Linked DNA regions of Lonchura striata. The protein of the gene in region 2 interacts with the protein of the main gene of each other region in a pairwise test. Links are inferred from orthologs where the notes say so. Each region holds a gene or a part of one and is shown on either strand. Other genes may lie near its edges. The genes, in order: MEOX1, CKS1B, XIAP and SEPTIN3.

Region 1 (8,144 bases), on a different chromosome or scaffold from region 2:
TCCACTCTAAAATCGCCATCTTGCTTTTTATACATTACTATATATATAATTATACAATTATATATAATTGTACATTATATATATATATGTATAACTATTATTATATATTTATAAAACTTTAAACTCTTCCACCGTGTGATATTACACACTTCTATTCAAACTCCACACCCACAATTCCAATTTTATCATTCCCTTTTGGAAGCTTCTCCACAGCCTCAGGTCAGTGCAGTGCTCTCCTGGGGGTCAGTGCCTGGCAGCACAGAAAGTCTCAAATTCTCACCAATATTACACTTCTGCTATTCTTTTATTCTTCCAGACAGGCTGAGAAAACTGTTCAAATGAGTGATAGATACACAGAGCCCATCTCTGGGCCTGGCCTTTCCTCCTCAGCTCTCACAGCTGCTGCAGCCCCCTTCTCTCTGTTAAAGATACATATTATAATATTGGCTTTTTGCATATGTTAAAATATATTTTCCATGTGTAGTGTTAAAGTAACTTTGTTCTAAAAATATAGTTTTTATTTCTGTTGTTAATTAAACTGAGTGAAATAGCTGATGTAAGTATGCTTGTGTTAAAATGCCTGCTTGGATGGGATAACATCCAATGAATATATGAAAAAGACACCTGATACAGATCTGCCAACCACCAGCACTCACCGTCTGAAGAGAGTGCAGACCAAAGCCCAAAAACTGGAGGAAATAAGAATACACTAAAACCAAAAGGTATTTAAGGGATATCCCCAAAAGTAACAGTGTGCTCTTGCCTGAGTGCAAAGATGCACCTGGCCATAACAACCTTTACTCTATAATCCTTATCTCTTATTGTGTCCTTAATCTCCTATTAAAAAGTTTATTAAACTTTTAAATTTTCCCAAGAAAGTGAACATGTTTTTCACAAGTGCTGCTGTGGCTGCCCTTGTCACTCCTTCTCTGGAAAAAAACCTCTGCTGGGTGTGCAGAGGGCAGAAGAAGGGTCAGCTTCTGGGGCTGCTCCTTAGCTGGGGAAATCCCACAGAGAGAAAGCTCAAGGATAAATGGACAGAGAAAAAGCTCAAGGATAAATGGATAGAGAAAAAGCTGAAGGATAAATGGATAGAGAAAAAGCTGAAGGATAAATGGACAGAGGAAAAGCTCAAGGATAAATGCACAGAGGAGAAGCTCAAGGATAAAGGGAAAGAGGAAAAGCTGAATGATAAATGCGCAGAGAAAAAGCTCCAGGATAAATGCACAGAGGCAAAGCTCAAGGATAAATGGACAGAGAAAAAGCTGAAGGATAAATGGACAGATGAAAAGGTGAAGGATAAATGCACAGAGAAAAAGCTCCAGGATAAATGGATAGAGAAAAGCTCAAGGATAAATGGACAGAGGAAAAGCTCAAGGATAAAGGAAGAGAGTTAACAGGTCCAGGATAAATGCACAGAGAAAAGGTTAAGGATAAATGCACAGAGGAAAAGCTGAAGGATAAAGAAAGAGAGGAACAGCTCCAGGAAAAATGCACAGAGAAAAAGCTCAAGGATAAATGCACAGACGAAAAGCTGAAGGATAAATGCACAGAGGAAAAGCTCAAGGAAAATTCCCTGCCTCCCTACGGGAGCGCTCCTCACCAGCCCCACCTCCCCATGCGTGCCATCCTCCCCATGCATTTCCCAGCGGCGGGCCGCAGGGCTGTTGACTTTGCGGAGGTTGTTGATTTTGCGGAGGTGGTTGATTTGGCGGAGGTTGTTGACCCTGCGGAGGTTGTTGACCCTGCGGAGGTTAAAGGCACCAAACGGGGCTCGGCAGGCGGGCTCCCGCTGTGTCCCCGCAGGAGCCGTGGGAAGATGCCGCGGCCCCGGCCCCCGCCGCGGCGCCGAGTGGCGGCGGCAGCTGCGCGGCCGCGGAGCCCCGCGGGCTCCCAGCGCAGGGGGCACCGGGGATCTGCTGCTCCCACATCTGGGATGCAGCAGCGACGGCGAGAGCTGTCCCGGCGATGAGGGCGGGGGGGAAGACAAACGCTAAGCAATAGGACTGAGAAGCAAGCTCCGGCTTTATTCAAAGATACCTTAGCTTGTATGGGGTATTCTACAGGCATGGGCAGCGGTAAGCTCTGACCGCTTCATTTACAAAGGGCTTTGTTTTATTTCTCCTGCGTGCGGTTACAGATGTAGCTAAGTTCTCTCTCCAAGCCAAGTTTGTCATCTCTGAGCCATGCCTTCCAAGGACAGAGCATATCTTTGAGGCTATGCCTGTTCTTATTATCCCGTTCCCAGACCTTGTACCACTATGCAATTTCCCAGAAACAGAGACTGGTTTCCAAGCTGTGTATCCCAAGTTCCACAAAAGCCTGATTCTGGGGCCTTAGACAGAGGTTTTTTGGAACAGGTATTCCATAGAATCATGGCCTTGTTCTAACAACCATTCCCCAACACCCGAGTGGTCTCACCTGGAGGGAGACGATGTGGGAATCCCTGCTGGGGATCTGATCCTGACCCAAGTGGGTTTGGAACTAAGGGACAATCCTCCTTTCTTCTGTCCCTGTGTGAAAAATGCCAATCAGTTGGGTTTTTTTAATTTTAATAATAATAAAATGGTTATAAAAATAACAATATAATCACAGTAATAAAGTTTAGAGTTAGGACAATTACAAGACAATAAAAAGCAAAGAATTACAGATGTCTGGATGCTCTCGGACACTAGAAGTGTGCTTTGTGAACAAAGGAATAACTTTAAAAGCAATAGCCTGTTGTATATTCATATATCTCATACATGATGCATAAATTCTTTGCAAATTAAGAACTTTTTTTGGTTTTGTCAACTTCTTCTCCTTAATCTTGTTGGTTCTAGAAAGACAGAGAGAAGGCAGAAGAATGTTTGTCTTTTCTGATAAGGAGGCTGTAATTTTTTATGGGCCCCCTTCGCTACATCTCTGTGTGAAGAGTTTCTTGATTATTTCATCTTCTTGCTTGATCTTGTAACAAATCCTGTATTGTAGAGTTTCTATTTTAACATTATGTTGTAACCTAAAACTACATTTAACATACTACGCAAGAGAATTAATACAGCATAACTTTTTAACATTACACATATAATATTTATTGTAACATTTGTGGAAAGCTAATCATAAAATATGCATTTTTCACACCTGCAAGGACAAATGTTTGCTAATTAGAGAGATCTTTTTGTAGACTGAAGGCAGAACTGCAAAACATGTGAATTCATGCAAATTCTGAGTGACACATGTAAGTGAAGTGTTATACATATGTCAACACACACACACACATAGAGAATATAAATTAAATATTCTGCATGGGCAAAACCTTCTGGACTCTGACTTGGATTCTGACAGTGCCTGAAATATGTGCAGCATTCACAAATTCCTCAAAATCTTTCAGAAAAGGAGTCTGAGGGTCTTCCTCCTGCCTGTGAATATGAAATGCTTTTAAATGTTTACTATTTAATGCAGCAGAGCAACAGATTTAAGTGTTTAGGTGAGTTCTTTCTAGAGAATTAATTAGCTCTCAGATATTGAGAATTTTGCATGAAAATTTAGATTCCTGTGAGAGAAAGGAATTTGATGTTCCTGTTCAGAAGGATCTAAACGAAAATAATTTGATTTCCTGGAAAAAGGCCAAGTTCTAAAAACCAACAGATATAACAGCATAAACACATTCCCCACCTCACCCAGATTCCATTGAATTTTACAGTTCTGAACGATAAAAAAACCAAAATAACTTCAGTATCACTTCAGCTCTTGTGAAAAATGAAGACCTCATGTCTGTTAAATCCCTGTGCCCCTGAGACAGCACAAAACCCAGCAGCAGTGGTGGGAGAAGGGACAGAGGCACACACAACGTGGAGCAAGGCCAGGGGAGTATTTGAAATGGTTGCAAGCAGATTTCTGGAAACATGGAACACATGCCTACCTTAATTGTCATTAAAAATATTAATAACCCTGGCATAGCAGCGTTTGGGACATCCTCAGCTGCCACACTTCTGGGAAAAGGGGATTGAGAACAGATTCCCTGTTAATGTCTTTTCAGCTGGGATGGCTCTAGGGCCTAAAAAAACTCTGCTTTCTGTTAGGAAAAACTATAAAATGTTCAACAAAAGATGAAAAACATGTCTTTCATTGGCATAAAATCAGGACATTTCCTTGCAGGAGGGTGAATTGAAAATTCCCTAGAAAGTAGAATACAGAAAGAATAATTGCCACTGGCAGCAGACTCCAACCCTCGGCAAATATATGTGTTACAAATCTAACAAAACAAACAAATATTACTCAAAGCCTTGCATGTGTGTACAAGCCAGGTTTAATATTTTTTTTTAACCTTAGGATTGGGCTTTAAATTATATATAATTAGTGAAGTCCTTTCTTACTTCTATTTCCCACTTTAGTTCTTGAAATTTGGTGTCTATTGAATCCTGTTTTAGGGCTTTTTCTAAACCCAAGACGGAGAATTTTGTTAACAGTGCAATAAAAATAACTTCATAGTGTTACAAGGAAACATTAAAGACTTTTTTTTGTGTGTGCTGCTCTTTCCCTCGAAAAAAAAAAAAACTACAGACATTGTTTCTTTAAAAGGCTCCATCTGCAAATCCCATTAGATGTGCATATAAGGTTTCAGATGATTAATAGCTGCCTGCTTTGCTTTGGTTGGAGGGGCTGAGGGTATGTGTGTTAACCCCTCCCTCCCTTCGCTCACATTTCACTTCACAAACTTGCCACCGTCTCCCCGGCACAGTATTTAAAAAGTGTTTCCCTCGTGCCCAGCACTTCACCAGGGAGCAGCTCATGGCGTAATTCTGCTCCCCCAGCCAGGGCAATGAAGACCTTTAGAGCCAGAGTTGCTAAAGCAGCAAACCCGCAGCAGCACCAAAGCCACGCGCAGACTGTTGTTTAGGGAGGCGACCTGTGAAACTCGGGAGAGTTTCCCTGCGCTTCCCCCGTGCCTCTGGAGGCTGAGCGGAGCAGGCGGGAGCCGAGGCCGGCAGCGGCGCGGATGGAGCCCGGCAGCAGCGGCTGCCTGCGCAGCGCGCAGCGCCCCGCGCCCAGCGCAGCGCCGGGGCTCGGCCGCGGCCCCGCGGCGCCCTTCTCCTTCCAGCAGAAAGCACTCTGCGCCGCTTACCCCGACTTCTCAGCCTCCTGCCTGGTGACAGCTCCGCACAGCTTCCCCCAGGAGCAGCGCCCCTCGTTCCACTGCCCCGAGTGGCACCTGGCAGCAGGAGACAGCGCGGGACTGGCCCTGGCTGCTGGCGAGGCACAGGGCAGCAGCCCCAGCCTGCTGAGGCTGCCTGTGCCTCTGGAGGAAGATGAGGCAGCGGCGAACCCTACAAGTGACTCTGAGAAAAAGCCATCCCGAAGGAAAAAGGAAAGCGCAGGTAGGTGATATGAAATCAGGGTTGTGGTAGACTGCAGGAGATGGAATGAGAACACCTGGTGAGACTGGGACTTAAGAAAGAAAGCTGCTGAGCAAAACATTCCATAGTATTTGACTGGGGAAACTTTAGATGGTAACAGAACTGTTATTGTCTTATTCTTATTCTTATTCTTACTCTTATTCTTACTCTTATTCTTACTCTTATTCTTACTCTTATTCTTACTCTTATTCTTACTCTTATTCTTACTCTTATTCTTACTCTTATTCTTACTCTTATTCTTACTCTTATTCTTACTCTTATTCTTACTCTTACCCTTATCCTTACCCTTATCCTTACCCTTAATTACTCTTACTCTTACTCTTACTCTTAATTACTCTTACTCTTACTCTTCTTTTTCTGGTCTTTGTATTTCACTCCTGCACATCTTGGGTACTGAACATTTTACTCTCCAGCACAATGCACATTTGCTGTAACTGAGCAGGAGTCACATGGCATGTGCACACAGAGCTGAATTCTAGGGTGTGGAGTTATCCAGTCACACCTGCCATTTGTCTGAGCAAAAGAGAATGGCAGAGAGCAAAGATCCCTCATCTTGAGCTGCCTGTGCTAATAGGGAATGTCATATTAGGAATTTGACATCTCAGTTTATGGTAAGAAGTACAAGAGGCAAAGTCTTCCTTTAAATATAAATTCTGTTTGGTCTCACTAAATGTCAAATATTTTAACCTCAGAGCAGAAGGTTCAAAAACTTTGCCCATCAGTAAAATGTCCAACAATGCAGAAAATGTACATGGTTTTCATTGTGTCATCCTAGCTAGCAAAGAATTCTTTTTACACTGTAAAAATCAATAATTTTGTAATTATACAAACTCTAAGTTGCTGATAACTCAGATCCAAATCAGTGAAATATGCATAAAATTGTTTTTTCTTAGGAAGTTGTTACAATTTAAGATGCTCTTATGCATTCAAATGCCACAGTATTCACATACAAGCTACAGTGTGCTTTTCCCCACAGTCCTGCCAACAAGTGGAGAATATTTTCCAGTAGCCTAATTTCACAGGCAGAGAATGCAGGGATAAAAATATTAATTGATTGGTTTCTAGCTTTTGCAGACATTTGTAGAATTTAAGCTCATTTATACTAAAAAAAGCATGTTTAGGCAAAATTTTCCCAAATACAAAGAAGTTTAAATAAAATAGCAATTTAAAAGGTGAACAACGCTTTCATTAAAACATCAGCTAATCATAGGTAAACAGCAGATTTCAGCTTACTCACATTAGAGGGATATCTTTATCCTTAAAGAGACTGATACCCTCTTTTAAGTGGAAGAAAAACATTCCTTTATTTTCTCTTACTAGCACTCTTCACACTTCCTTTTCATACTTGCTGCTGTTCCCTACTCTCTTCCTTTCAGGGAGCTGTAAGCAATGACATCCCTGAGAGGTCTGGGCTTCCACCTTCCAGTGACCACTGCAGCCCTGGGGAGGGGCAGCTGCTAAATTCCACCCAGCATGGAACTGGTTGGGATCCTGGAAGGAGACACACTCCTTGGGAAAGGCACACATCTGCCTCTGGCTCCTTTCCTTTCCTTTCCTTTCCTTTCCTTTCCTTTCCTTTCCTTTCCTTTCCTTTCCTTTCCTTTCCTTTCCTTTCCTTTCCTTTCCTTTCCTTTCCCCTTTCCCCTTTCCCCTTTCCCCTTTCCCCTTTCCCCTTTCCCCTTTCCCCTTTCCCCTTTCCCCTTTCCCCTTTCCCCTTTCCCCTTTCCCCTTTCCCCTTTCCCCTTTCCCCTTTCCCCTTTCCCCTTTCCCCTTTCCCCTTTCCCCTTTCCCCTTTCCCCTTTCCCCTTTCCCCTTTCCCCTTTCCCCTTTCTTCTTTTTAAACTGGCTGTACAGTAGAAAAAACCTGTCCAAGATGATTTTGTCCTTTCACACGTTTGTCATTTCTCACATTCTGTTGTCAAAACTGAAGCAGCTGGGCCACGTTTCCACTTCTGGAATCTCACAGAACCCCAACCATGGACAAGGATTATTTCTCTTGACAATACCCTGTGGCACGCAGTGTCCTTGAGAGATTCCTAGCTACACACCCTACTCTGCCCCAGAAATACCCAAATATCCATTTTAAATTATTCCCACTGTCTTTTGGGGATGCAGACTGGTGGACCGCCCCTTGGAAAGGGAATCTGTCCCATGTACTTTGCACTGGCTGCTTGTTTTTAGTTTCTGCCCTGTGCTGAAGGCTTGGAGAGCTGCTGCACCCTCCACGTGTCCCTGAGGGCAGCAGAAGCCCCAGGGGAGGCTTTGGGCTCAAGGCTCCCAGGAGCTGGTGGCAAAGGTCCCAGCAAGAGATGCACACTTCAAATCCTGCTTCCCCCTGCTCCCTCCCAAGTCACACTTGTGAAATGTGATAGTGTGTCTGTGCAGTACAAAGGGGATTGTTCAACTGAGGGCAAAAACATGGGCAGAAACTTGTGAAGTTTTGTTCCTGTACATTCCCCATCTTTTTTTGTGGGTTTCTGAAGTAGCAGAAGCAGCATGGAACAAACCAAACTAATTCCCTGGAGTGGAAAGCAGCCCAGCTGCAGCGTGTGCCACACTGCTCCCTTGTGCATTCCCGGACCTGTGTTTGGTTTCTCCTTTTCTGATGGGCACAGATAAGGCCAGGTCAGTCACAAAACCTCACAGATTTCTCCAGTTTTACTGCTTTGGCCACCAAAATGACACCTAGAAGATGAAGCTGCACATTGTGCTCATATTGTTACCATTTTGGTTATCATTTCTGTGTAG
Region 2 (6,132 bases):
TGGGGCGCAGCGCAGGAGGGGCTCCCGGCGAGGGGTGGGGACGCAGTGCTTATCTGGAGCAGAAAAATCAAGGTCACAGGCGGAGCTAGCGGGAGCGGGCGGCAAGAACGTGCTGGGGGCAAAGTTGGCCCCTGCAGCCTCGGGGAGCTGTGTGACACTCCCACCTGTGGATCAGGGGGCTCAGGGCAGGTCTCCCCTGTTCCCCTTTCCTCAAGGCACTTGCATGCAGCAGGAACTTGGGCCAACCCGACTGTCCTGCCCTCCACAGCCTTGGCCCCACTGAGGGACAAGAGCTCTCCCCACTCCACTATGGTCCCACTGAGGGACAAGAGCTCTCCCCCCTTTACCACCTATAGGATGAAGCAAGGAGTTCAGACAGAACCCAACCCCTGATGCATCACAAGCCAGAGTCTTACCAACCACCAGGTGCTCTGTCCACCAAACCAAAACTGGGTAAATCCAGGCCAAGGAAAAGGCTCTCCCTGCTTGGAGCACTGCTTGGCACTAGCAGCTGCCTGCCCCACTTCACAAAGCCTGGCACACTGCCATGGGGACAGGGAAAGGAAAGCCAGAACAGGGCTGGAAATTGCACCTACATGATGCGAGGGGCAGCAGCACACGCGAGTGGGCCAGTCACTGATGTACCTCCTTGGCCATGCACACTAGCTCTGTGAAAGCCAGCCCCCCAGCTCAGCCATGGTGGTCCCACAGGCAGAGAGCTGTGCTGGCTGTTCCACAAAGTGCTTGTCCCCTCCAGGGGCCCCCGGCTGTTCAGTGCTGTGACCTTCCTGTGGCCGCAGCACCACTCCTCTAAAGAAAAGCAGGAAGCCCGGAGCCAGGAAGTTGCTGGCCCAGTGAGGGGCCAGTGCAGCCCTGTTGCCAGGGGAAGCTGGCTGGGCAGTATCAAGTGGCCGTGGAGCAGTGGGGTTTGCCCGTGATGGCCTGGCCACTGCTTGATGTGGGCCTAGGTTTGCTTGGCACGGCAGCTCTGTGAGCCCTGATGCTCCCCCAGGATAAGAGCAGAATGGAATTGCAAGGGGGCAGGAGTGTCTCCTTGGCCCCTTTCCACCACCCCAGGGCTTGGAGCAGCCATCACCTACAGGCAGAAAAGGGCTGATAAGCTCCCCAGCTGAAGCTCCTGCTCAGACGCATCTCTGCTTTTATAAGCTAGAGTCATTCCTGATTTTCTCAGAACCTTCGAGGCCAGTCTGCCCACATCACTCAACAGCCTGTTACAAGACGCATTGCAGCTCCCAGGCCTTGGAGACCAGAGGTGCTACCATCACAGCTCCCTCAACCCCAGAGTCCACCCCAGGGCATCAGAGCTCCCTCCCAGTGGGCTCCGAGTGCAAAAGGCAAACCTGGAAATATGTGAAGACACAGAACACCAGCCCTGCCTGAACAGGCAGTCCCAAGCCCCATCCCACAGGCTGCAGCCCTTCCCTTTGCCACGCAGATGCCAGGAGCTCCTGCCCCTGCAGCAGAGGATGAGCAGAGCAGCTGGAACAACTGCCCCCAAGGGGCTCTGGGGACATATCCTGGCCCAGCTGCTCCATGTGCCCTGCCACCACAGAAAGACAATGGATCATGAGAAACAGAAGGATGTGGACTACTTTCAGGCACCTGAGAGTGGGACTTCACACATCAGCCGGGGCAAGGAAGAGAAGCAGAGTGGGGATGCTCAGGGCTCCACTACCAACATCCTCCCTGGAAAAAACCTGGGAGCCAGAGGCCTGGAAAATACTAGTGGTTTGGCAAGAAATTGCAGCAAGGTGCAGATGGCTACACATACAGACCTCGCCCTGGGCAGGAGACCCCCTCTGCCCAACTGCAGTCAATGCTGAACCTCTGAGGCAGGGGTAAAGCAAAGGAGAACACTCAAATCCAGCCAATAGCTGATTTTTCCCTCACACATCACAGCAGCATCGAACAACATTTACGCATTCCTGCACACAACCTCTCCTTCGTTCTGAAGAGGGGGTTAGGAGATACCAGTGGAGATCTGGGGAAGAGGCTGGAGACCTCCCAGAAGGCAGAGGAGGCAGGCAGGATCCACCACCGAAGCCACTTAGCCCTCCACCGAAGTCCTTACCACATACTCCATCGCCGGCGGAGGGCAGGGCAGGCCCTGGGCAGGGAGCAGAGACACACAGCCCCTCTCGTCTGGCACTCCGACCTGCGGTTCGGGGACAAACAGGGAGTTAGCCAGCCCTGTCCCAGCCCGCTGAGGTGGGTGGGGGCCACGGTGCCAAGAGGCAGACCCTGCTCCTCCATGCTGTCCACAGGTGGATGGGGCTGTGGCTGCCATGCAACCTGCTGCTGGCACAAAGAGTAAGAGAAACCTGGAAGCTGCCTTCTTCCCATTGGAAATAAGATGGAGCTGGAATGCGCTGGGACAGGAAGAAGAGGTTGAGCCCTGCTTACACTGGCAAATGGCATTGTGGGCCTAGAGTCACTCTGTGACCCAAGAAAAGTGCTGAAACCGATCCTTGCCCAGCCTAAAAACCAGTACTGGAAAGCCACATGCAAGGATGGAGAGCAAAAGCAACCAGAGGGGCAGAACTGCCCCCTCCTCCATCCCCTCAGCTGGCATCCTGATGCAAAATTATAGACAGAGCCCCCAGGGCTGTGTCCCTTCCTCCCAGGGGAACTGGTGAAGACAGGAGTCGTGGAAAGACTCTACAAGTGGTGAGCTGGCAGAGGCAGGAAGCTCTGCAAGGGGAAAACAAGGCAAGCAAAGCACTTTTCTCACTCTTCTGACTCCCACTGCCATTGCCTAGTGAGGCAGTCCAGGCCAGGCTGGTGGAGCAGTGAAGGGCAGCAGACATGATTTACTGCTTGGCAGCAATTGTACCTTTATCTGCAGCCTGTGCCAGCTGTCGCCAGTAGCTTGGAAGGCAGCAAGATAAAGGAGAGCTATGCTTGGCCATGGCAGTGGAGATTGACCCTTGCAGTACCACGCCACCGCCAAGCAGAGGTGGCGACCACATCCTTTGGACATCGGGCACCGAGGATGGTGCCAGGGAAGGAGCATCATCACCCAGAGCCAGGGTGCTCAGCCTTACCACAGCCCATTTGTGTCCCTCCTGAGGATGGAACACTGCTATGCACAGCTTCACAGGGTGCCCAGTCAAGGCATTCCCCCACCAAAAGGCAGCAGGTGGATCCTGAAGCCCTCCTTGGCTGAGAGGAGATGGCATCTTCAGCCCTTCTGTTACAGGCTGACACCAGGGCAGCCCTGGCAAGCACCACAAAGCAGTGCCCTTTGCCCATAGACTTCTGTAGCGCCAACGTGGCAAGCAGGGCCCAGGTCACATTTCCTTGGAAGCCATGTCCGTGGTCTATAATCTGTGTGGGTGACCCCATTTAAGAGATTCGAGGGGAGAAGCAAGAACAGATGGACACAACACTGCTGGAGAGCAGACACAGATCTCCAAGGGGGAGCAGCTACCCCTTTCCACAACAGCTGAGTAAGCTCCAGGTACTCAGTGCTGCCTTACTTTGACGTACGAAAGGCAGGAGGGCAGAGCCCAGCCCCGCAGAGGGCGAGGAACCCTCCAAACCCAGCCGCTGTCCCGTTCCTGCCGGAGGTCATGCCAGTCTTGGGGCTCGGGGTTCTCCCTAGACCCTGCAGCACCTCTACAGCCGGTGTCCGTCCCGTGTCTCGCACCAGCACGGGGTGGGGAACGCAAGCCTGAGCCCCAGGCACACGCAGCCGGCCGCCACGTCGGGTGGGTCACCCCGGAACCTCAGCACAGCACGACACCGGCTCCTCCAACCCCCGTCGGGCGGCATGCAGGAGGCTCCGGGCCTGCCCCACGGCCAGGCTCCCTCACGCAGGGCAAACGAGGCAGCTAGGAAGGGCGACTCGGCCCTCACAGCACTGGGAGCGGCGGCGGCAGAACCCCCACTCGTTTCCGCGGAAGGCGGCGGCGGCGGCGAGCGATGTGGCCTCAGTCCAGCGACACTGCGGCCGCGGGGGCACCGCGGGGCCTGGCCGGGGCTCCCGGGCCCGGCGCGGGTCCCCCCTCCGCCATCCGCGCGCGCCCTCACCGCCCCGGCCGGCGCGCGCTCACCGGGCACCATCGGTCACGCGCGGGCCTCGCGCCGCCGCTCCCGCCGCTCCCGCGCGCCCCCTCTCCCGCCGCCCCCGCCGCCACTCACTTCCGGCCCGCGCCCCTCCGGCGTGGCCCCGCCGCGCCCGCGCCACGTGACCCGCGACGGCCAATCGCGGCCCGCGCCCGGCCCCGCGGGAAGCGGCGCCGCGGCCCCGCCGTGTCGCGCGCGCGCCGGCCAATGGGCGGCCGCCCCGCCCCGCCCCCCCCGGCGCGGCGCTGGCCAATGGGCGCGCGGGGCGGCGGCGTTTGAAAGCGCCGCGCGGGGGGCGGGGGCGCCAACGGCCGCCGAGGGAGGGCGCGGCGGGCCCGTCATGGCGCACAAACAGATCTACTACTCCGACAAGTACGACGATGAGGAGTTTGAGTACCGGTACGCAGCGGGGAGGGGTCCCGGTAGCGTCTGCTTGATAAGGATGCAGGGGTGTCGGTTAAAGCTTGCTTCGGTGAGGGAGGGAAATGCCGCGGTGGGGTGGAGCGGCGACTAACGGCTCGCGAGTGGGGGAGGGCAGCGGTGGGCGAGTCGTGGCTCCCTGCTGGAGCGAGAGGGGAATTGCCCTGGTAAGGCGGGGGGGCCTGGTGAGGGCTTTGTATCGGGTCACGGCGCAGCTCTCCGGTAGGGAATCTTCGTCCTGGGGAGTGAGGGGCTGTCGGGGGTGCCCCGGTGTTGACTGAGAGGTGCGGCGCTACAGGCACGTGATGCTGCCCAAGGACATCGCCAAGCTGGTGCCCAAGACCCACCTGATGTCGGAGTCGGAGTGGCGGAACCTGGGGGTGCAGCAGAGCCAGGGCTGGGTCCACTACATGATCCACGAGCCAGGTGAGCGCCGCGGGGCAGCGGGTGGCGCCCAGGGGGCCCGGCCTGACCCCCTCTTTTGCCCCGCAGAGCCCCACATCCTGCTCTTCCGACGGCCACTGCCGAAGAAGCCGGAAAAGTGAGTGGCCCCTGGTCTGCCGAAGCTCCCAGTCCTTCCACATTGAGACAACACCTTTCTCCTTCTTCTCCTCGGCATTTCTCGGGGCCTTCACCCCGTGACCCTCGACGCTGCCTGTGCGTCGTTTTGACTGCTCGGCCCGGGTTCCGGAGGCCCTTCCCGTTGCGATGCCTTCAAAATTTTAATAAAGTGATGTTTGGGAGCCGTTTGTCTGCAGTGCCGGGGGAGGTGGGTGGAGGGCGAAGGGGTCCCGGTACCGCGGAGTCTGTGCCCGGGGGTTTCCCGAGGAGGCTCCCCGGGGTCTGGGAGGTGGGGAAGAGAGAGCCTCCCCGCGCCCACCGGAGACGGGGGCCGCACGCGCCCCGGCCCAGCGGGCACGGCCATGGAGGCGGAGCTGCACCGGCACCCCCCTCTGCCCGCCCCTGCGATGGTTCCGTCCCCGCAGGTCCCGCCTCTCGGCCAATGGGAGCTGGCGGGGCCGCGTGACGGACGTGCGGGCCGGCCCGTGAGCGCGCGGGGCGGTGCGCGCGGGTGCCCGGGCGGCCCCATGTGGTGGGTGCTGCGGGCTGCGGGGCGAGTGCGCGGGCCCGCCGCCTGGCGCCCCATGGCCGCTTCGGGCCCCGCAGCGGCGGCCCGCGGATCCGCCAGCACCGCCGGCATCATTGTCATCGGCGACGAGATTCTCAAGGTGCGGCCGCGGGTGGGCCTGGGCTGCGGGCGTGGGGCGGGCTGGGGCCTGCGGCTGGGGTCGGGGCGCCCCGCCGTCATGGGCGCCTCCGTTCCCCTCAGGGCTACACGCAGGATACAAACTCCTTCTTCATGTGCCGGCGGCTGCGTGCTCTCGGCGTGAGTGTCGCCCGGATCTCCGTGGTCCCCGATGACGTGGAGGCCATTGCCAGTGAGGTGGCCGCCTTTGCTGCTCGCTTCACCTACGTGCTGACTTCCGGGGGCATCGGCCCCACGCACGATGATGTGACCTTCGAGGCCGTGGCTAAGGCCTTTGGGGAGAGGGTCGTGCTCCACCCCGAGCTGGTGGCCCTGGTGCACGAATTCTTTGGCAAGACGGAGGTGCAGTGCCCTGA
Region 3 (8,167 bases), on a different chromosome or scaffold from region 2:
AGCAGTATCAAAATAGTATTAACAACACCACGTTACTTTAAGACCCAAATCTGCTTGATCAAAATAGTAAAAAAACTCCAAGACGATCTGCAAATCAACATGCTTAATATTTGCAATTAGAACCACCTGAATTATTAAATTGGAGGAAAAAAAAGAGGGCAAAAGTATTTCTTTTTATGATTCTGTTCTTTTCTAGAGGAATTCTCTCAAAGCAAGACCACCTTTTCTGTAGGGGCTGCCAGGCAGTACAGCTGCACTGATTTAATGGCTTGTTGCTGCAGAAATGGGACACATTCACAAACACTTCTGCCCTTCTCAGTTGCAGTTTGGGCCCTCCCATCAGTTAGATCAGTGAAACTGAGAAACCTGGCAGAAAACTGGTCAAAACCCAAATCTCCAGCCACCTCTGCAAGTTGAAGCACTTACTAGGAGGCCACAGAGGCACCCTGCTGACTGAAGACAAGGTACAAGCCCTCCTTTCCAGTAACAAGCTGAGTGATTAGTTCATCTAGTCTTAGCTGAGTGCATGAAATTAAAATCAAAACAGTTGCACCTTCACAAGACACAATCTGGTAAGTGTTCATTTGACTTATTACTCTGACCTGGTAGCTCATTGCTGCAAGCTTATGATGGAGGACTTCCCCTGCTCTACTAAAACCTACATCTCTTCATCTGAAAGTAAAACTGTCAAAAATATTTTTAAAAAAACACAAAATTACTTTTGAAAACCACAGTTTCAAAATTAAATTTATTTTGGACTATGATGGGATAGATTCTGAAACAGTGTGAACAAGTTTGCATGGCAGAGGCAGCACCGGAACTGAGACCTCCCAACTTGTACACCACGTCCTATAACCTCCATTTCACTCCCACATGGGGATTAAAGCAGTAATTATCACAAAGTGCATGTGCCTGCTAGCATTTAAGTATATGCATAACTCAACTGATGCAGGTAGTTCTTTAGCTGAGATAAAGTACAATCAAGTGCATTTTGCAGATAGGATGGCACAACTAAACCAAACTCTCTTTTGCTGATTCTCAGCCCTTCACTTGCATGAGCAATGTTACAGTGTTGAGTTAAAGTAACGACCAAGCTACAAGCGCCTGAAAGATCAATTCCCAAAATTTCACATTCACAGAATGTTAAGCTTCTTCAGTTTACCCTGAGGCTTAACATAGTGTATGAACTGCCAGGCAGGTACTCTATTAAAGCCCTCCATCCATGCTAAAGGCTCCTTGATGCGTTGAATCTCTCACAAAACAAGGTAAGGTACCAGTTACTATGTAACTTATAAATGCCCATGTGGGCTGCAGTCATAGATCAGCATCTTCTTGTGGAAATAATTTTCCTTCAAACACAGCACACACAAGTAGGTCTACAAGGAGTCCAGACTGAGCAGCGTAAGTCATCACACTTGGATTCCAACTTCATTTGCACACCAGTATCTGGCAGTAGCAAATAAATGAATATATTTTAATAAAGTGTACTTAGAGACAGATCTGAACTTGAAACTACCACATTTGTGTATTTTTATTAGATACTATTACACGTCAGTAGCTTAATTAATTAAATCCAAAGCTTGTACAGTTTTGACCGATGTCTCTGAACAATGTCTTGGAAGCAAATGGTCACTGCTGCATTACTAATTAACATTATGACACTCTTAAGACATAAAATCCTTACCTTCTGATTTCTGGATAGCACTGTTAAATCATGACAAGTTGATCACATAATCAAAAATATCACACCATTGAAAAAAATAAAATACAAAAAAAACCCAAAACAAAAAAAAAAAGTATAATTATCTTAGAGTATCCATTATTAATCCTAGTAGATTAATAAATTCTAGTAGAAGTTGAAATGCCAAATTGAAAGAAAGCATTTTCTTCTCTCAATATAGTTTCATATTCCCCCAAAACATAGAAATGTGTTCTCATTTAGGTAACTACTGCCAAAATACTATCTCAACTGATCTAGCCAGATCCTGTAAGCCATTTCATACTCCAGCAAGTAAATATTTTTCCATAAGAACTAATCTTTTTTAGCAATTATGAAGGGTTTTTATCCCCCTAAAATGCCTACCAAAAACCTTCTAAATTTTTGTAATTCTTCTATTTGCTAGTAATGTCAGTTTTGCCATTCTGTAGCATCCTTCCCCTCCCCACTTTTCTAACATCATTTTAATGAATTGTCCTCACTTTCAACCACAAAGACCAAGGGTAAACTTACACCTAGACGTAATTTTTATTCTTGGGCATACTCGTATTAGACAAATAATTCAATAAAAATAAGTAGTGTTATTGCATTTATTCCCTTTTTACTTTAATGCTTAAAAACACTTCATGTGTTTCATTCTGAAATGATAGCATCCCAGCTGCGTTTTCCTCTAGTTAATCAGAAGATAGGAAGTTTTGGAAAAAGAAACAAAAAGTTACACACTGAAGACTCTCCCATTAAAGCTGTCTTCCTAAAAAAGTTCTCTAAATATTGTCTACATGCATATACTTTAGATTCCAGAAAATAAGTTCATGCATATTTCTCAAATTTCTAAAGCTACCACTGCAAAACCTGACAACTGTTATCCAGACACAATTACATTTCTTTTAAAACATATGGCCTCATCTGCAAATTGCTCTTTAAGTCACGCCTGGAACACCATTTAAGCAGTCTTCCAAATGAAGTGCAAGTACCACAAATACAAGAATCTAGCTAATCATTTTGTTTTATTGGTCCCACAGCAGATGAACACTCTCCTCCCACCCTGTTAAAGAAGTCCTGCTCTGAGGGGAGAGAACAATCCTAGAAGGTTTTATCATGGTCACAAGCCATGTAAGTTGCCTCTTACAAAGCTCAGAGAGCTGGGAACCCAGTGAGAACAGTGCAGTTGCCATTACGTGATCAGCTGTGAAATGTCTGTTCTCCTGCAAACTCCACCAGCCTCTCAACATGTTCAGCTTGTGTACTAACACAAATAATGGCTCCAGCATGATTCAAACTAAAAATTACACGGCTATAAAGGGGGCCCCCTTCACTACAAAATGGTGGCTCTGGAAAGAACAGTGTTTTGTGCCGGGATTCTCTACATTCTCTAATCTCCAACCCACTGCCATTTCCCCTCATGCACAAAGAAAATTCATTGCCAAAGCTGCACAAGCTTTCAGAAAACACGAACAAAAGAAAATAAAATGAGTGATTATCAGGAAGTGTTTCTCTAAGTGATCCCTGCAACATTCATATTTAAAACTGAAAAATTTAAAATTTTGTTGTTTCTTACAACAAAAAGCAAAAGCACATGGAAGAATTAAAATAAAAGCGCATAAAAAACATATAGCTAGTGCAAAGAACACCCCTGTTAAGCTAACAGAGAAACATGAAATGACCAAACTGGTGAAGCGCCCTTTGAAGAGCTGTACTCCTGAAACACAACATTTAGTGAACTTGCCACATAAAGATGGCTTAAAACAAACACAGGCCCACAATGGAAAGCTCCTGGCACACCTGGATTAGTTTGAGAGGTGGCAACCGAACCCCTCCGTGAACAAACGTTACTTTGTGGAATAGAACAGGAGTGACTACCTAACCGTACTCTGCCTGGATCAAAGAATACAGGGCCAGTCCCACCGGAATCGGTAAAAAAGCGGGAACGGGGGCTGAGGCCTCTGCCAGAAAGGTCAGTACTGTAGAGCAGCGACACAGGCACGCTTCGGGGTCCGCATTACCTCGGGGGGCGGCTGAAGATGAGCCCGACCCCCGCCAAGCCCGGCCCGGAGCTGGATGGGGCGCTCGGGGCGCCGGCACAGCCGGGCCCAGCTACGGCGGCCGGGCGTCGGCGGAGGGCGGCAGCACCCGGCCGGACCCGACGGGAGAGCGGCCCAGGCCCTCCTCCCGACCACGGCTTCGACCCCACGTCCAGCAGCAAGGACGCAGCCCCGGCCGAAGGCCTCTGCGCCGCCCCCCAGCCTCCCCGGGCCGCCGAGGCCCTCGCCCCCCTCTCGCAGGCCGCAGCGCCCATCCCTCCCCACGGCGAGGCCCCGCACTCACAACTCGCTCTTGCCGCCTTTCTCCCAGTTCTTTATCCACTCGGCCGGGAGCAGCGCCGCCATCTTCCCCGTGCAGCGCCGAGGGCCCGGATGGAGCAGCGGCGGCGCCGGGTCAGAGGGGACGGACGGGCCGCGAGAAACCGCGGGACGCGGCCGCGCCGAGCGGGGAGGCGGCGGGGCGGACTGCGCCTGCGCGCGGGGGCCGCGGGGCGGTGCCACGCCCGCGCGCGTGCGTTAGAACCGCGGGGCGGGGCGGGGCGCCTCGCGCGCGTGCGCGCTGAAGTCCCGGGGGCGTCGGGCTCCGCGGGCGCGCGTTAGGGACGCGTGGTGCTGGGGGCGTGCGCGCGCGCGCGCGCATTAGAGCCGCGTGGTTTTGTGTGTGCGTGCGCGCGTTAGAGCCGCGTGGTTGTGTGTGTGTGTGTGTGTGTGTGTGTGTGTGTGTGTGTGTGTGCGCGTGTGCGCGCGTTAGAACCGCGTAGTGGTTTGTGTGTGCGTGTGCGCGTTAGATCCGCATGGTTGTGCGTGTGTGTGTGCGGTTAGAGCCGCGTGGTGGTGTGATGGTGTGCGCTGGTTAGAGCCGTGTGCCGGTCTGTGTGCGCGGGTTAGAGCCGTGTGCCGGTCTGTGTGTCCTGGTTACAGCTGTATGCCGGTCTGTGTGTCCGGGCTACAGCCGTGTGCCGGTCTGTGTGTCCTGGTTACAGCCGTGTGCCGGTCTGTGTGTCCTGGTTACAGCCGTGTGTCAGTCTGTGTCTGTGTGTCCTGGTTACAGCCATGTGTCAGTCTGTGTCTGTGTGTCCGGGTTACAGCCGTGTGTCGGTCTGTGTGTCCTGGTTACAGCCATGTGTCGGTCCGTGTCTGTGTGTCCTGGTTACAGCCGTGTGCCGGTCTGTGTCTGTGTGTCCTGGTTACAGCCGTGTGTCGGTCCGTGTCCGCGTTAGAGCCGCGGCGCGCGCGCGTTGGAGGCGTGGGGCGGGTGCCCGCGCGTGGCGCGTGCGTCGGTGCAGCGGGCGCATGTGCGCACGCGCGGTGCGGGTGCGCGTGAGGCGCCGCCGGCCCCGAGCACGGCGGAGCGGCGAGATGTCTGCTCGGAGAGAGGGCGAGAATGGTAAATCGTTTGAATAAATAGGCGGTTAAAAAGGGATTGTGTAAAGCTTGCTATGACACGTCTAAATGGTCCTTCCGATACAAGCACTTAGGACAAGCAGTTGTATGGACCTCGTATTCCGCGTGTCGCCCCTAATGCGTGTGCCTATTTTATTACATGTCGCTTGTCTCCATTAAGTTTCTGCAAGTTGTTCTGTGTTCCCTTCAGTTGCTAATTGGGATATTAGGGTTAAAACACTCCATTTGGTCGGGTAGCAAATGTTTTTAGTCAGACATTTCTCTTTCCTCTCAAGCCACCTACGTTCTCAGTCTTGTACATGCTTCCTCCTCTACAGTAGTGTCAATTGTTTCACAAATACAATGAAACTTCAGCAAATGGGGAAATTGAAATAAAATCTAAAGGTGAGGCCCCACAGCCCCTGTGCCGTTATCGGTGCCAGCACTGCTGTGCTCGCTGCCTTGTTCTCCACTCTGAACTGAAACGTGCAGCTTGCTTGTTTTATATATATATATATATATATAGGTGTAACAGCTTTCCACTCGCAAAATAGCTCTGATCAGGAAGTCTAGCATTTCAGCAAATCTACATAATTCTGCCTGAGACAGGGACTGGTGTTGTTTCAGTTACCATTCTCAGCCAGTTTCTGCGAGCTGTGCAGAATATTGTGCAGAAGGCTGCTTATGAACAACGCCTACTTCAAGGGGATCCCTTACAACCCTAAACTCTGCAGTAACACAAGGAGTAAAGGAGGCAGATTCTCTGCTTCTCATACTTATATTTTAATTATATGGAGACCACATTCCAGGCATACTATATGCAGTGTAATAGAAGATACACTCAGTTTACAAATGCCTAATCTATTTCTGATAGATTATTTTTAAAATAAAAATTCAATAAATATATTGAAAACATATGTATAAATGATAAGCATAGAATTGCAGGCCCGAGGAATAAAATGAGAGGGTGTTATAAGCAAATGCAATAAGTCTATTTAGAAGATAAGCCTAAGAGTCACATAAACAGAAAACAAGAATCTAACAAAATATATTAGGTGCAAGGATGTATGTAGGAATAGTTATGTAAGGTCTGAAGATAAAAATTTGAGATTTTGCCTTCATGATGAGGAGGAAGAGGCAGTCATGGAGAAATGCAGTAGAATAAAGCCATCAAATCATTGCAGGACCAACAGATTAATTCCCAAGTTTACTTAAGGAATTTAAACCTCTTATTTCTTGAAGTATATTAGTAACGGACTGGGACAGGCTGAAAATAAAAGACAGTACATGCAATGCAGAAATACACATGACAGAACCAGTTTTAAAATCTACTCTGAGAAGAGTCTTGATTCCACAGCATTTCTATAGTACTATACAAAACCTTTAGTGGTTATTTAACATAACATTTAATATTTATATAAAATACATTCTCCTTAATTAATATGGATTCTATATATGACATATAAGCTCTAAAACATAGACATTGCATTTTGTATTGCATAAAGTAATGTAGGCAAAGCAAAATATTTTTAAAATAAGTATGTACCAATTCCTTCTCAGAATGACGTATTTTTGACACAGAGTAGTCTGTTCCACACTATAAAGTCATATTCAGTTCTGACTTATCCTTGCTTTTGTGGTGGACATCTCTAGATAGTGAAATGTCTTTCTCCGTAGCACTTGATGTTAGCTGAACTGGGAGGAATTCCTAGGTTAAAAAATAAGACTTATATTTTAGTTCTGTAAAACAGCCTTTATAGTTCATTCTTCATCTTTTCATGAGGCTTTTATTTGCTAGAAAAAGCATCCTGGGCATCCTCAGATTTGTATCAATAAGTCAGAGAACCTTGTTAAAAGCCAGGACAATTTTGTGTTTCTGTTGTTTCAACAGGTTTACATTTACCTTTCTAAATAATGGAATAAAATAAAATGTTGAAAAGAAGGAAGAATGATGCCTGCAAATGCAGGATATGTCACAGCACAATCTTAAATCACCTACTGTGCTTCCTGCCTGAATAAAGAAGTGCTCTGAAGGCTTTGTCCGAGCTACATTAAAGGAAATGCCTCTGTCACCACTATGGTAACAGCTGGATAGCAGCAGGAAGTTATTTAACTGAACAGTAAATACAAGGTTTTCAAGGCTGTAGTACATTATCCAGCAAATACATAGCTAAAAAAATATCAGTGGTAATTGGATCTTATAAAAATGTATTTATTCTTGGTTTTCAAAATAAGTACTACAGCCATCTATTGGGAGAGCTGGAAATGTACAAAAGCAAAAGAAATAAAACATCCAACAGCTCTTTTCCTCTGTATTAACCAGTTCCATTATTCATGTGACAAGGCACAACTTTATTATCTGCTTTGAGGGTTAAACAATTGAGTGCTTTACTTTTTCTGCACAGACAATTAAGAATTACTTTTTGGAAGAAATTATTTTTTTATTATTTGGCTTTAGTATCATGTCCACGTAAGAATTAATTGTTCTAAATTCCCCTTTTTCTTTTAACAGTAATTGTTTCATGATTGTACCAGTTCTTTTTCTGTAGACATTTCCTAAATTCTCACACAGAAAAAATAAAGGTACAAAGGAGGCATGAGTTCACATTGTTAAGATGATTTCCATTTGGTAAAAGCTGTTTAGGCAAGTAAGAATCTTAAACATTAGCTAATACTGGCTGTTTCCATTCATCTGGACAGCTGAAATGAGAAACATTCTTAGACAGTGATTGTCAAATACATCTTGCAACTTTTTGGTTTTTTCATAGCTAAACTCAGTGTCATTGCATCATCCTGAGCTATAAAATGTCCCAGATTTAATGAAGATCACACCATTATGGAGAGCTTTGCTTATTTTCAGCTCACAGAAATCAGCATTCTTTCACTCAGAGTTGTTTGCTTTTCTTACCACTTGGCAGCACAGGCAAGAGCCAACTGTAGATTTAGGTTCCATTTCCAAACGCAATTGGCCTGGATATCTTCTGGTCAGGGCTTAACATGCACATAACTTGTTGGTTCTGTGTAT
Region 4 (8,083 bases), on a different chromosome or scaffold from region 2:
AGGGACCAAGGGCTCAGTGAGCCTCAGAGACTGAATGCCTTTATCCTTGCAAAATGCACACCCCTGCTGTGTCTGTTTGGGAGATGGAGGGCATCCATCCCTACATCCATTCCAGATGCACCACACTGAAATTAAAGGTCTTTTTTAAAGAGGTTGGTTCAAGTCCTGTGTCAAGCTAAGAATGTTCTGCAGCCCTCCATGCAGGGATGCTACCAGACTTACCACATCAGCTGCTTCTAATTTGCCTGACCTTCTGCTCCTCTGTCAAGGAGGGAGATGGGATAGTGTGTGAAGCTACTTGCACTTGTTCAGTCACTTGCACTGCAAAGCTCTACAGCTTTTCTCTTTCTTAACTGTTTCACAATGAAAGCTGTGAAGCATCCCTCAGCCTTTTTTTTCCCCTGCATGTCTCTGACAAGGAACATTGAGCCTGCCACCTAAATGGGCCTATTGTGCCACCTTTGCTTTCTGGACCCAAGCCGTATAAGGTGAGTCTGGCACAAAATCCCATGTTTATAGACTTTCTGCAGTGTCACAGGTATGACCAGCCACCAAAGTGCTCTATGAAGCTGTGACACTGGGGCTGAGAGTGATATCCCCATCCTCTCTCTCTCTGACAGCCCAGTGCAATACCCAGTGTATACAGGGAGGTTTGAGAGAGCAAGGAGCCTGTGGCAGAAAGTTGTCTCTTCTCCTCCTACCCCAACAGGCACCCTTTGCATGCATGTAGGTGCAATGGTGCTATCTATGAATGCTCTGGACACAGAGGGATTCTGTGTGTCCCACTCCTGCATATCCCAGGTATGTCAGCTGGTGCCACCATCCTATGTGCACACATCTGTGCATCCTGTGCCAGCCAGTATATTTGCAACTCATATCTCCAGTGTCCTTCCATTGTTATGGCTCTGTGCTCTAGTCCCCAATGGCTCCTTTCAGCAGCAGGGGTTCCTCAGGCTAGCTCTGAAAATCTGCCACAGCTCCTGGCTTGTGTCACTCAGCCTCACCTGTGAACCTGGGAGCAGGAAGTTTTCTCCTCCATTCTCAAAGAAAGAAGGAGAGTTCATTGGGCTGCTGTGAGTGGTTTATGGAGGGGAATGCAGTGAGTGGGATTACTCTTCTGCCCAAAGCTTTCTTGCCCTGGCAAGCAAAGGCTCAAAGCACAAGGTGCAGCCTGAAAGTTGGTAATTCTCTGGGGATCCAAGTTAATTTTTAGCTCTAAGGAATGGATCAGGACATCCTGCAGATATCCTGGGTCTTCCTGGGACATTTCATCTACCAGACTGCAATTGCATTACCATTCTTTTCCACACCAAAACCAGGCACACTGGCAGGAGCTTTCTGGCGGTGTTTCAGACAGAGGAAAGTCAAGAGTCCTTTCATTCAGCCAGGTAACAGATACAGTGATGCAAGTCCCCTAACTGGGGAGTCTCACTTAAGAGGGAAATGCAGTGAATAGGATTACTGCTGTGCCCAAAGTTATACTTGCCCAGGCAAGCAAAGACTCAAAAGAGCAGGAGTAGTCTGAAACAGATACATTTTTATAACTTGGGGCTGTGAAATGGAAACGACCAGGGGCTGGGTTGCATGGCATGGTGTGCCACCCTCACCTGCACAGCTCACATTCCCTGCCCTCTGGCACATCACAGCCATATCTTCAAACACCAACTGGGAAACCTGCTTCCTCACCTCAACTCCCTGATAGGTGGGATTGCCCTGTAAATGGAAACAGCTGAGCTGTGAGGTAGTATAAAAACTTCTCCACTGGAGCTGAGGGGCTTGGAGCAGTCAGGAAGAAGTTAAACTGTAGGGAGGGGAGTCTGCACTCACAGGGGTCCCCTCTCCCCTGCTCTGTGCTCTCCTCTGAGTGCTGCCGTGCCTGTGCTGAGCTCCACTCTGCCCGTGACTCAATGCAGAAACTGAGCAAAAGAAGACAGCAACTGGGTGAGGGCTGGATTAGAGGGAAACTAATTGTTCATCTCCTCTGGCTTACTTTTTGTGCTGTTAGTCCTGACACAATCAGTATTAAGCCAGGTATTTTCCATGGCTATGAAGGACTTTATTGTCAGCAGTGTCAAAGGCTTCCCCAGTGGAAGTGTGTGACAGACCGTGTGGTTGAAGTTTTGTTTTCCTGTTGCTCCCCTGGGAGCTGCCTCCCTTTAGCACTGGGCAGGCAGCAAGGAGCAGTCTGCAGTGAGGTTTCCTTTACAAGAGGGTAGGTCTCCATCCACCTGGCTCCTGTGCCAGCTACACTGCCAGGCTGTCTGGGAATAGTTAAAGGCAAATGCTGCCTGAAAACTGAGATGGTTTCTCCTGTGTGGGATGAGTGCTGCCAGAAAGACCTCAGGGGAGAATGAAATAGTTACAGATACTGAATTAAACTGCATAAAGAATCAGAGAAGGTCATTATTGCTGGAAATACTACAAGTATCAGGTTGGTTTTTTTCATGTTTTCTGTCTCTTTGCCCTTAAGGAAGCAGAGAACTTGCACTGTCCTGAGCTCTGCCTTCCACCAGTATTCCCAGTAATGATGTGGATCATTGGATGGTGATTCCTCTTCCACTTCCCTCAGCCCTGGTCACCTGAAATAATGCAATCTTTGTCCCTGCCACACTGTGGGTGCCTGTCTCTCCTTTTGTTTGCTCTCACTTGCTCATCAAACCATTCATATTCTCATCCCATGCCACCAAAACACCTTTCTTCTTTCCTCCTTGTTTATTATGTTGCCCTTCAAAGTTTCTTACAGTGAGAAAGGTGTAAAGTGGCAAGCTGAATTTCTCTTGACCCTGAAAATGCCACAAAGCTGGCAAAATTAAGAAACAATCATAATAATGATAATAATGAAGAAGCAAAAGAAAATCAGCATAAGGGAATGAAGTGTCAATTTGGAAGAACATCCAACAAGTGATCACTAAACTTGTGCAGTGGAATATAAATTGTTGCACTGAAATATGCCATTTGAGGGGGGACAAAACTAAGAGAGGAAGGGAAGGCATTTCAAAAATTCAAATATTTATTTATTTTTTTTTAATCACACCCAGTGTCCTTGGAAGCAGGCAGCACAGGCCTGACCTGGCAGGTCTGCATCACTCCTCCACCTCCTGCCATAGGAACAGGGCACGGGGTCATGTTGTGGGGCTGCTGGTGGCAGAGGTCAGGAAGGTGCAGGACAAGGGCAGGAGTGGTCATGGCACCCAGCGTGGGAGCCAGCCATGCAGGCCACAAGAGCCCCATTGTCCCAGCTGGAGGCGGGCTGGCCGGACAGGGCTGGAGGTGGGGGCTCAAGCATGTGCATGACGGCAGCCCCAGGAGCCCTGCACCCCGAAACACCCTGACAGCAGGGACCGCCCGGGACCCCGGCCCCTGCCCTGCACCTCTGCTTCCAGCCACAGCCGACCGCCATGGAGGAGGAGATGGGCCTTCACCGCAGCTGCCTGTCCGCCGCAGGGAGCCCCAGCCGCACGCCGGGCCCCGCCGCTGCCCGCCCGAAGCGGAGCTGCCTCTCGGTCACCCTGCGCCGTGCCCCCGGGGCCGCCGGGCCGCTGCCCTGGCAGCGGCTGCGGGGCCCGGCCCCCGTCACCCCAATCCTCCCGCGGCCCCGGCCCGTGGCGGCCGAGGGGCCCCAGCGGCACGGCAGCTCTGACGGGGCCGAGGCCACCTCGGTGGCGAAGATGGGGCTGTCCTGTGCCCCACCACGCTACGGTGGGTCTCCCTGACGGGTTGGGCTGGGCTGGCAGAGGGAGGGTGGGAGGGAGGCACCAAGGGGTCCCTCGGCGATGGCGTGGAGCCCAGCATGGGGCAGGACCCTTCAGAAGAGGTAGGGTGATGAGAGGGAGGATGGGGGCTTCCTTCCCTTAGAGTAATTTCCTCTTGACCCACACCAGAATCATGGGTGGGCAATAGCTGCTGGGAGGACAGCCCGTGTGTTTGTGAGACTGGCAGCCAGCAGGGAGACGGGCAACTGTGGCTGCCATGTCAGGACATTTTCTGGGTGCTGGAGTGCCTGCCTGTCGGAAACCAGTCTGTCCACTGCTCAGCCTAGCCCGGGGTAGCTGCTGACAATTACTTCTAAATGTTCCTGTAACCTGCAGTGGGTGCAGTTTTTGTCCCAGAGCACTTGAAAAAGAGGAACCCCAAACCCTTGCCAAGTCTGCCAGGCATCCCACAGCCTGGCCATCACCCAGGGGTGTTGTCTTGTGGAGGAACACGTGGTGCTCCTGTCATCCCACTGACTGGAGGGTCAGAGCATTCCCATGTGTTGGTGCCCCAGCACAGCATGACAGGGACACAGTGCATGCCGGAGCCAGGGCTCACAGATGTAGGAGAAGGAAATGCAAAGCAGGGAAAAGGCATCCCCATCCAAAGATGCAAGCAGCCAGAGACATCCACACAGCTCTCTAGGCACAGACACATCCACAGGGCACATGGAGGTGCCTGCCAGAGCACACAGGGATATGACCCGTGTACCCCAACATGGTCCAGGTGGCAGGACCTGTCCGTGCTCACCAGACGCAGCCATACACATGTTTGTACACACATGCACGCAGAGGGGACAGCGCTGCCTCTGCCGCTGCGCCTTGGGCTGACAGCCAGGAATCATGGTGCTGGAGGAGAAAAGGTTTCTCACACCTTCACAGCCAAGCTGAAGGGCAAATCTCTTTTGATGAACCAACACATTCTCAATTTCCTCCCTCTGGGAAAGCAAGAGATTTTGCAATCCCCTGATCCTACGAAATACCTAGGGGCAAAGAGCACCGTTTCTTAACCCCGCCGGAACTAAGCTGTGAAGGGTTAAATATGCCCCTCCCTAAACAAGCAGAGATGCTGAAAAGGCTGGGGAATTGGGAGGGAAAAGGGCAGGAAAATGCCTGTGGGGTGTGGGTGTGCAATGAGGGCCCCTCCAGGACATGGGGGCCCCATCGGCAGCGGCCCCTCCGATCCCGAGGCCATGCACCCCCCCGCAAGTCAGGGAGGCTGGGGGGGCCTGGGATGGAGCCGGGGCCTGGGATGGAGCCGGGGGAGGGTGCGCGGGGGGAGATTTTGCGGAGATGTTTAATATTCAGGTCACATGACGATGGCAGCAGGAGCAGCACCAGCATCCCCGCTCTGCTGAAATAGCCACTGGAGAAGGAAGGGAAGGAGAAAGGGGGAGAAGAGGACACAGGGAAGAAAGACAAAGGTAAAAGCAAGTGGAGCTTTGTAGTTCACCGTGCTGCTTCATCAGCGTCAGGCTAGAAAAGTGGGGGGAGACCCACCCCCTTGGGAGAGGATTCGGAGACAAAGGAAGCTTCATGTTCAAAGGTAGGATGCTCCGGGCTTGGCAGGGCTGGGCAACGCCAGAGGGACACCGCTGGGGCTTTTTGCGCAGGCATCCTCCCCCGTGCCCCCACGCTGCCCAGCTCTGGGCATGGAGGAAGGATAACCCCGGAGGGCAGTGGGAGAAATCGGTCTTTCTCTCTTTTGTCTTTCCTCTGGTGTTTTTTTTGGTTTTTTTTTTTTTTTGGTGGCAGCAGTTTTGTATGAAGAAGGAGCAGGGCTGGTTGTGGTGCTGATGCAGAGTAGCTAGAGCCAGGCACTGCTTTGAAAGGAAGGGATAATCCAGCTGGGGAGTGTCCACAAGCTCCTCAGCACCTGGCTTGTCCCTTGCCAGTGACAGGCAGTGGGGATGTCCTGTGCCTCTCTCTCCCTGGGCATCTGCACAGGAGCCAGCAGGCATGTGAGCAGGGGCACAGGCAGCTGTGGTGGTGTGGCTACCACGGTCCAGGGGTGCTCAGCATCCTCCTGCCTTGTGATATAGCTGTGCCACTCAAGGGGTGAACTGGGATACAGGACTGTATCTCCAGACTGTAGAGCTGGAGAGCAGCACCAAGGGCATAGCTGGGGCTGTGGTGGCTGGGCTGGGGATGTGTCCAGCTCCTTCACCTCCAGATTTTGCATCTCCAGAGAGTCTTCAGCACATGCTGCCCTAGATTTCACTGCAAGCTGGGCTTTTGCCCAAGCTCTTTGCAGAGTGCTGAGGGGAAGAAAGGTTGCTGTCAGGAAGGCTGCAGCAGCCCAGAGGACTGGGATGATCTTCAAGCCAGGCAAAATGATCTGGTAAGAAGAATGGTTCTGTTCTGTGCTCTGAGGTCAGGCAGTACATCCGGCGGTGGGGCTCAGCTATTGCCCTGCACAGCAGAAAGACATGCCCTGGGGTCATCATAGGAACTGAGTAGGGAAAGGTATTTTTTTAGTGGAGAGATGCTCAGTCCAGCACCTCTGCAGATCTGAAGCAAGGAGCCCATGATGCCCATGAGCTCCAGGGAGGCTGTACTACTGGAGTAGCTGCTTGCTTTCTTTACTAGGAACCTGGCATCCTGGCCCCTTTGAGGGCCTGCTTCTGCCAGTCACCTTCAGATCTGCAGGTTCAGGTTTTGAACTCATCCCTCCTCCCTGTTCCATATCTACAGGGAGTGGGACTGTGGGTCCAGGACCGTATGGGTAGAAGGGGCTGGGGTGAGATGTGTGTGAGGATCACTGCCTCCAGCTGCAGAGGGACAACCTCATGCTACACTGGAGGAGAGCTGCAGCAAGGCCATCCATGTGTTTTGTGGGGGTTAAATAGCTTTTCCTTGCTGGAAGCTGGTTTGTGGTGAGCACTGTGTGCAGCTCTCCCTCCCTCTTGCCAGACAAAGGATGGGAAGGCAGGGGGAGGGGATGCGACTGTATCTGGGTTATCAGGACATAGTAGATGTTGGTCCCCACTACCTGAGCCCCCAGGGGTCCTGCAGGGCCACCTCTGTCCCCACACAAGTCCTGCGAACATCAGAGCATGAAGGGTGAGCTGCAGTAGTGGTGTCTGCTGCTGGCCACGTATGCTGGCCTTCCAGGAAGAGGTTCTGGGGTGGCTCAATGGGTATCAGAAGCAGGAGCTAATTGGGACAATGGGGACCTCTCTGGGCATTCATTCTGGTTCTTCCTGTCCCTGCCTCAAAAGCTATGCCTTCCCTTGATCCAGTCACATGGAGCATCTCCTGTGAGCCAGATATTATTCCCTAAATGCCCAGCCCAGGGCCACCTCATATCGGATCTGGGCAGCAGGGTGGTATCACCAGCTACAGCCCTCTTAAATGAGCTTCTCTTAGCACAGAGAACAAAGCAGCAAGGAAAAGGGAGGCCTTGCAAACAGCAGATGGTAAGTGGTTAACCTTTGCTAGCCATACTGGCTGTAGTGCCCTCTAACGCATTCATTACAGGGGACAGCTGCGAGGGCCACGGGATGTGCCCAGGACACAGAATGCCACCCCTTGACCAGCCACTCAGTGTGTCAGGAGCCTTCCTAGCACCATTAGCTTTAGTGCACATAAAACAGAGCCACTCCCAGGAGAAGAGGCAGGCATGTTTCATGTCTCAAGGTGCCTCTTACAGTTCTGGTCCTGGTTTTGCACACCCCAGCACTAGGCTGTTCCACAGCTGGCTCCTTGAATTCACCTGTAGGAGGCAAAAGGTCAAAAGTCATATGCAGAAAGATGAGCCCTGGGAAAATTTCTGCAAAATGGGGACTTCCCTGCCTAAGGCTGTATGGGAAGGAACCCCACACAGAGAAGGCGTCAAGTGGCCTAGAGGAGAAAAGTAGGTGGCTTATCCTGACACCTTGAATGTTCTGATATAAAATCTAGGAAATATATTTAAGGAGACTTTGGGAAATCTTTTCTCCTGGTCTCAGGGTTTTCTATAGCTGCCCAAGAACCTGAATCTGAAACATCTGCCCTAGTCACTGCAAGCTCCTGGCTCCAACAGTGAAGCTTGCAAAGGAATGGTCTTGTATTATGATGTCCACAGCAGTTAGCAACATCTACTGGCTCTGGGCAAGGCTTTCCTTGGTGAGACTGAGGGATGAGTTATGAACCTCTTAGTGAGCCTTGAGGATGACAGAAAATTCCCTCCTTCCTTCTCCCTGTATAAGAACAAATGTTGAAGGAATAAAGGAGACAGTAACAGATTCCCTGAGGAAAAGCTACTACCTAGGCAGTGAAAGGGTCACAGCCCACATGGCCCATGTTCTGCACCCATCCCATGAAGCTGCGCAGCTAGGCTTTCTTCCTAT

Evidence for each region.
Region 1: the proteins of CKS1B (region 2) and MEOX1 interact in binary tests that used the Homo sapiens proteins (3 or more experiments, as listed by UniProt). The two-hybrid records come from large-scale screens. The link is inferred for Lonchura striata from reciprocal best matches to the Homo sapiens genes CKS1B and MEOX1.
Region 3: the proteins of CKS1B (region 2) and XIAP interact in a two-hybrid assay, tested with the Homo sapiens proteins (3 studies listed by BioGRID and IntAct). The two-hybrid records come from large-scale screens. The link is inferred for Lonchura striata from reciprocal best matches to the Homo sapiens genes CKS1B and XIAP.
Region 4: the proteins of CKS1B (region 2) and SEPTIN3 interact in binary tests that used the Homo sapiens proteins (3 or more experiments, as listed by UniProt). The two-hybrid records come from large-scale screens. The link is inferred for Lonchura striata from reciprocal best matches to the Homo sapiens genes CKS1B and SEPTIN3.

What each region holds. Positions count from the first base shown.
Region 1 is NC_134627.1:5,975,798-5,983,941, forward strand, and holds the start of MEOX1 (homeobox protein MOX-1), read left to right. Parts: upstream 1-4,963; 5' UTR 4,964-4,978; coding exon 4,979-5,357; intron 5,358-8,144. UniProt on the Homo sapiens protein: Mesodermal transcription factor that plays a key role in somitogenesis and is specifically required for sclerotome development. Required for maintenance of the sclerotome polarity and formation of the cranio-cervical joints.
Region 2 is NC_134635.1:907,821-913,952, reverse strand, and holds CKS1B (cyclin-dependent kinases regulatory subunit 1), read left to right. Parts: upstream 1-4,397; 5' UTR 4,398-4,429; coding exon 4,430-4,488; intron 4,489-4,807; coding exon 4,808-5,054; 3' UTR 5,055-5,252; downstream 5,253-6,132. Other genes in the region: FLAD1 (FAD synthase), read left to right, coding at 5,598-5,738, 5,840-6,132.
Region 3 is NC_134616.1:9,795,059-9,803,225, forward strand, and holds the start of XIAP (E3 ubiquitin-protein ligase XIAP), read left to right. Parts: upstream 1-5,061; 5' UTR 5,062-5,146; intron 5,147-8,167. Other genes in the region: THOC2 (THO complex subunit 2), read right to left, coding at 4,043-4,104.
Region 4 is NC_134607.1:58,164,222-58,172,304, reverse strand, and holds the start of SEPTIN3 (neuronal-specific septin-3), read left to right. Parts: upstream 1-5,004; 5' UTR 5,005-5,288; coding exon 5,289-5,298; intron 5,299-8,083. UniProt on the Homo sapiens protein: Filament-forming cytoskeletal GTPase. May play a role in cytokinesis.